Linked DNA regions of Drosophila melanogaster. The protein of the gene in region 2 interacts with the protein of the main gene of each other region in a pairwise test. Each region holds a gene or a part of one and is shown on either strand. Other genes may lie near its edges.

Region 1 (4,479 bases), on a different chromosome or scaffold from region 2:
ATTCTACTATTTAATCATTTCCGGCTTTGTTTTCCCCATTTCCTCAAACCACTCTTGGCAGTGTAAAGGGCTGAGCTTCGGTTTTCCGAAGCTGAAAGATACAAACTTTACCGATACCCATTTTATACAAGTCGCCCCACCATCCTCACACTCGGACTTAGCGTAGTGATTAAGAATAGCATTCCCGCGAAGGTAATTACATTTAATCAGTGTCATATTTCTAAGCATGCAGGAAACGTTACATGTTAGAGAGCAGCACTAGGTGCACCCATCCAGCTTAAGTAGATGCAGCTCGCACACCAACTGAGAATCACAAGCAGTGCGTTTCGGGACTGTAAGAGCAATGCAATGCAAAATAAAGAGATCGATTTTATTTGATTGTCGAACCCGTTTTAAAGTTCCCCAACATTTGGCCTTACTCGATGGAAATTAAACTCGCGTTGCGCCAGCGGTCTTACAGTTCTGAATCCCACTGTACCAGCGCTATTGCCGCACATAGTCGATAAGTCAACCTGCCAAGCTCCCTAAGGACCCTCCCCTTAGTTCCCAACTCCAGTAGCAGTTAAATTAGTGATAACGTTGCTAAAATATATTTGAGAGCATGTAAGATTAATACAAGTACGAGCATACTTATATTTAATGTTTTACAGAATTACATTACAAATATAGAATAATGTTTCAAGAATTTCTAGTACTTTGCGGATTTGTAATCGGGTTCATCGCCACCAGCACCGCCGCCTCCACCGTCCTTTGGCAGTTTTCGCTTTTGAATGATTGTCTAAATGGCAAAGAAAAATAAATATTTTGTATTGATCATCGACGAATCCTTTGGGATATACATACCTGAATCTTTTGCCACTCCCTATCGAGCTCGGCCTTCTCGTTCTTCTCCGTCTTGTTCTTGCGCGTCTTGCGACCGTCCTGCATCTTGACCCCGTACTGGAAGGCTGCCTTGGGCAGCGCCTCCTTCGTGCTCATGTAGTCGGAGTACTCCTCCTGCGTGTCAAAGTCCCAGCGTCCAATGGGCCCCTTTTTATTGCCCAAATCCATCTTGGTGTAATCCACCTCATCGTCCGAGTCGTCGATGGCGTCGTTCATCTCCTCCAGCCCGGGATAGCATTCTGCGTATCCCTCGGGTTCAGCGAACCGTGCGGCCATGGCCTTCGATATCTTGGGTGGCGGGGGAATACTGGATATTATCGGCTCCTCTGATGCCTCCGGCGGGCCGTCTCCAAAGTAGGACGGGGCGGACTTGCCTTGCTCCTGGCGGTTTCGCTCAGGTCGCGTGGCAGAAGGTTGGTAGTCCCCTATATCGTCGTAGATATTATCGCCCAAGGGAGCTGATTTCCCTCCCATGTTCGATGAGGACGAGGTGGCGTGCCGACTGGAGCCACCATTGCTAGACGACCCACGAAGATTTTCCACCTCCTTTTCGTAGAACAGCGGTTTGTCCTTGTCGCGCTTTTTGTTCTTCTTGTTGCGACCACCGGCACGTAGATAGCTCAGGATTTGGGACAGCTTGTTGATCACAATGTCATTGGTGGTCAGCGTGGCAACATCCTCTTGTGACACCGGCACCTCGAACTTGGAGCGCTTCAGTGTGGTTGGAATATCCGACTCCCCTAGCTCGTCATCCAGGTCGATCACATAGGCCATCCGTCCTGGAGCAAATAGCTCATTGCGGGGAACTTCTTTCGAACGCCTTGCCTGCACTAGATTGTAAATATTGCGCGCTAGTGCACCATTGATTGCATTAATATCCTCCGACTCGCGGCGTTCCGCTTCCAATTGCTCAGCGGCGGCAGCTGCTTCGGCGAGCTTTTCCCTTGCCACAGCGGCGGCAATCTCCTCCTCTTCCGCTTCCTTCGAGTGCAGCTCGGAGCGCACTTTTTGCAGAAGGGCGTAATCAAGACCCTTCACCAAATGCGTATGCTGGATGTCTCCACCCAAGAACTTGGACTCCTGAATGATACGTCTTCTTCGCTCCTGGGCATCGATTCCGGATTTCATATCTGGCGCTACAGCTCGATACGCATTGGTGCTGCTTCCGTGTCCCGGCGTGCTCACGTTCACGTAATCTGGATTGGCACCATCGCGTCGTTCTCGTGCTCGGTCCCTGTACTTCTCGGACAGCTCTTGCAGCTTCACATCCTCCTGCTTCTTGAGCGCCGCATAGAAGTTCTTTTTCTTGCGACGCAGATCATTCCGCTCGCTGCTGCTCTGACCCTTCTTCTTTTCGCCACTCAATCCTGTCGTGCCGGGGGCGGTGGAGGGCGTGGCAAAGGTAGCAGTGGCCAGAGATCCTCCAGCGGAGGTGCTGCTCGTCCCGGAGCCAGGAGGAGGAGCTCGGGGCGTCGCTAGCAGCTTGCGGAAGTCATCGTTGGTTAGTCGCACCGAAGGCGGTGCTTCCAAGTGGGCATCCGACATGGCGAAGAAAATTCGAAGAAAACTCGCAGAGAAAATCTATATTTACAAATTGTGCTTCTTCTTGGTTTTGCCTGCCAGGGTTGGCTGTGTTTTTGATTTTTCTCCGTACTGTAATCGATAACATGTTTACAGTGATGGAAGATTAGCGTTTTTAGCGTTTTTTCCGAATAATTACGAATATTTGAAAATCGATTCCACATTTAGCATCACTGTTTCTCATAATGTATTGTTATTATTGTTAAACTACAAATGGAGCAGTTTCTTAAAGGTCTGCCCAAAGTAGAGCTCCATGCTCACCTCAACGGTTCCTTGGGCATCAAAAGCCTATGTGATCTTGGCGAGCGATTGTATGGAACCTCTTGTAAAGATTTCCTGAAGTTGTGCGCGCACTTCAGCCGATTTGAAAAGGATATGGATGCATGCTTCGAGAAGTTTGCATTTGTGCACGAGTTGACCTCCACCCGGGAGGGTCTGCGATTTGCCACGGAGTTGGCGATTCGAGATTTCGCTGAGGACAACGTCCAGTATGTGGAAATGAGGACCACTCCTAAGGCAAACGAGAACTATTCACGCAGGGACTACCTGCAGATCGTGATCGATGCAATTAAGGCAGCTAGCGAAACGTATCCAGAGATAACAGTCAAGCTACTGCCCTCCATCAATCGAGCGGAACCAGTGGACGTGGCTGAGGAAACAGTTTCCCTGGCTGTGGAGTTGGCACGGGCTCATCCAAATCTTATCTTAGGCATCGATCTTAGCGGTAATCCAGGGAAGGGGCGGTTTTCCGACTTTGCTCCTATTCTTGCACAGGCCCGGGATAAGGGTCTGAAGTTAGCTATACACTGCGCCGAGATCGAGAATCCATCGGAGGTAAAGGAAATGCTGCACTTTGGAATGTCCCGCTGTGGACATGGAACTTTTCTTACTCCCGAGGACATTGGGCAGCTTAAACAACGAAATATTGCCATTGAATGCTGCCTCACTAGTAATGTTAAGTCGGGAACAGTGCCCAGCTTGGAGGAGCACCACTTGAAAAGAATCATGGAGGCAGATGCACCCAAGGTTATCTGCACGGACGACAGTGGCGTTTTTGATACCACTTTGACAAAGGAGTTTCTGATTGCTGCGGAAACTTTCGGTCTAACCCGTGAACAATGCATCGATTTGACCTTGGAGGCAGTGCATCATTCATTCGCCAGCGAACAGGAGCAAATACAGATGGCGGATAGGGTGGGGAACTACGCAGACATATTGGTCAAATAAAAAAACTGTCACTGCCCTAATTGAAATAAATAAGTTTTTGTATGTAACACCATATATGTACCAACCTGATTCTTATTTGTCAAAAATTTTACCTTTTAATATCATTCTTTTTATTCAATATGTAGAAGTATTTAGTTACAAGTTTGTTCATTAGTTATGTTCATCCTTCGTACGTACATATGTGGCTAATAAGTTTTTATGTTTTTCTCATTTAATATCATTCATAATTGAATTCAAGTTTTCTGTTCATTACTTTATGTTCTCGTTTCTGCCGTTCTGTGTGGCTTAGTTTGGGGGTAGGCATTCAAAATACAATGGAGTACAAGCTTTGGTCAATAGTGGGCTCTTAAACTGCACCAAGTGAAGTGGACGATCGAAATCTAAGGAAACCAAAGTAAGACTTAAATGATCGAAATCTGTAGTTTAATAGCACATTTTGAAACAAACTTTTTGGGTGAAGACATCTTTATAGTCGGACCCTCCACCTACCCAAGCCTGCAGATTAGCTTTCAGTTGAAGTGGTTTGCCTGCCTGGTATTCCCTATATACAGTTTATCTATATTTTATACTTTTAGTTTGGTTTTAGCTTACTGCTGTGTTTCTACATGAGTTTTACTACTTTATCCAGTTCATTCCAAATGTCGAGCTTCAAGAAACGACCGACTTGGGAGTTTATTTATATTGTATAGAAGTGTTTTTACCTCAACTAGAGAGTTCAATTACAAATCTATATATTTATATAAAGGTTTACATTTCTACACTTTGGAAAAATTCTACTAGTTGAAAATG
Region 2 (2,710 bases):
GATATGATTTCGCATATATACACATACATATATATATATATATTTATATATATATATATATAGACATATAGATACGCAAATTGGCAGAACATTTACTTAAAACCCATACCTAAATATATGAGTATATACATATATCTACGTTTATGTGGGCATCTTATTACGATGTTCATTTCATGTCGTCGCATGTTTTCCCCTTAGTTAATCGAAAATCAAACAAAACAAAAAAAAGCCTATAAGACAAAAACCACAAAAAAAAAAAAATCTATCTTTTTTAATTCATTTGTATAACCGAAAGTGTCATAGAATTCATTTGAGAGGTCGATTCTAGAATTGATTCCACCATATAATATAATAAATGCATAAACTAAAAAAAAAAAACTCAGCAATTATCGTTTTTCTCTGCAAGGATTTTATATATATAATATTATTATATATTCACTTAAAATAACTTCATTTCGAAACAGCAAATGTATTTTTCAATATTTTTCAATTACTTTATTTGATTAAAAAAAAAGATATATTACGATGTGATGCAATCATAGTTTTTTCTGCGATCGGTGGGTTGATTTCGATTTCGAAAGGAAGAAAATATTTAACCACTGCGACGGGTGCGTCGGACTTTCTTGGTTTTCTTGTTTTTCTTGCTGTTCTTTTTCTTGCTCTTGGTGGTCTTCTTGTCCTTCCTGTGACGCCGGTTGACGTAGTGCCTCGTGTGCCGAACTTTCTTATCGCTCGACGATGATGAACTGGACGCCTCCGTGGTGGTGGTGGTCGTGGGAGCAACTGTCGTTGTAGTGGTGGTCGCCGTGGATGATGAGGAACTCGACGACGACGAAGTTGGAGAAGTGGACGAAGTTGGAGAAGTGGACGAAGTTGGAGAAGTGGACGAAGTAGGTGAAGTAGATGAAGCAGGTGAAGTAGATGAAGCAGGTGAAGTAGATGAAGTTGAACTAGCCACTGCCAGGAGGCTGGCGAGGATCAGTACGCAGAGGAATCGCATCTTGCGGCTTTGGGGCAGTGGTACTTGGAACTGTGCCTTTATCTCTATTCTAACCAGGCTTTTATAGCACCCCTATCCATGGCATCTAACGAGCATCCAACCGCCCGAAGATTAAACGTATATTTGGCCAGGGTAAATACGGAGCAACCAACACCAATCCCACCCCCCCCCCCCCCCCCTTCCACACATTTGTCATCTGTCTTGGATCTCCGGTGCTCCGATCCATGGCATTATTTTCATTATTTTCGCTATTTGCATAGAACACGCCCAGAATCCCAGTTTGTTTGCACACGAGTCACATAATTGGCACTATTTGCCAAAATCGAGGGTAAAACTTCTGTTCGTAATTAAAGAATTGTTGGAGCTGTGAGGCAGTTTAAAAATATCTTTTGTTTGATAGTTCTGTTTCATTTTTTAGTATATTATTTAATATATTATCTTAAATATTAGTATAACATATAAGAATATATCATTAGGAATTTTCGCATATCTTGCAGACCAGCGGAATGATCCCCTCAAAAGCTGGCCAAGATCTCTTCACTTTGGATTGGGCTGGAGTCCATTGGATACGGTCTGGTCTCGAGATTCGTCTGGCGAAACAATGTCAATGCCATTGACTAGTGGGATCTTAACTACACTTAAAGACTAGCTACCTATATTTGAAAATCAATTATAAGCAACAGTAATCATATTTTAATATTCTCTACCAAAGAATATATAATATAATATAATATAATATAATATAATATAATATAATATAATATAATATATAATCTTAGAGCAATGCTTGTTTATTTTTCTCTCTGGTTTCCGGAATTAGAGCAATTCGTTTACATAATACCATCAATCATGGTACAATCTTGAATGATTGATGAAGCCAGCGACTACTGCACAAAATCCCCAAATAGAGAGAGAGACTCGATTTCGCAGTTGATTGATTAGATCACTAAGCTGACAGACAAGCAAGCTCATCTAATTGCATTCGTCACAACGCAAAATGACATAGTAGATGGCAATTTGTGGCGATTTGAAATTGCAAGTGGTTTTTCGCCGATCTTTTCGAAAAAGAGAAATGGTTTGCTTGGAATTTTCTTCTTGCACGAACCGTTGCTGAATAAATATTTGCACCCAAATATGCGAATAAAAAGCAGCTCAAACAAAAATTCGACAATGGCCTCTTTTGTTGAATTAAGTGTTCCGATTGTCTTGCGACTTGACTTTGCTACGTTCAGGGTTGTCAGATTGTTGGCAGTTACTTTCGCTATCGCTGATCCCCCCAACTGGCTTGACCTGTGCACCTTTACTTTCGAACACGTTCCTTGATCGACTACGAAATGCAGCTCCTTAGTTATTCTGACATAAGAGCAGTTCGCTGGTTAATTCGATAATGACACCAACTAAGTTCTGTTCCAGCGACACGCAAACCCACATAAGATCAATTGCAAAATGGGGAATAATAAATGTATGCATAGTATATACATAGGGGCGCAATGGAAGCACGCTACGGAGGAGATCCCCAATCTCCGCCGATCTCCTTGTGCCACCAGATGCGCGTATCCGATTCAATTTCATCCACTCAGTTTCGCTTACAACGTCGTCATGTTTGGATCGCTTCTACTGGGGATTGCCACCTTGCTGGGCGCGATCTATGCCTTTCTGGTCTCGAACTTTGGCCACTGGCGGCGTCGCGGAGTCACAGAACCCAGAGCC

The links. Proteins that work in one complex are often made in the same cells at the same time.
Region 1: the proteins of CG15741 (region 2) and beag interact in a two-hybrid assay, tested with the Drosophila melanogaster proteins (one large-scale study listed by BioGRID).

What each region holds. Positions count from the first base shown.
Region 1 is NT_033777.3:9,062,563-9,067,041, forward strand, and holds beag (beag), read right to left. Parts: upstream 2,517-4,479; 5' UTR 2,428-2,516; coding exon 844-2,427; intron 779-843; coding exon 689-778; 3' UTR 570-688; downstream 1-569. Other genes in the region: Ada (adenosine deaminase), read left to right, coding at 2,677-3,690.
Region 2 is NC_004354.4:11,837,011-11,839,720, forward strand, and holds CG15741 (uncharacterized protein), read right to left. Parts: upstream 1,017-2,710; 5' UTR 1,001-1,016; coding exon 593-1,000; 3' UTR 533-592; downstream 1-532. Other genes in the region: Cyp28c1 (cytochrome P450 28c1), read left to right, coding at 2,600-2,710.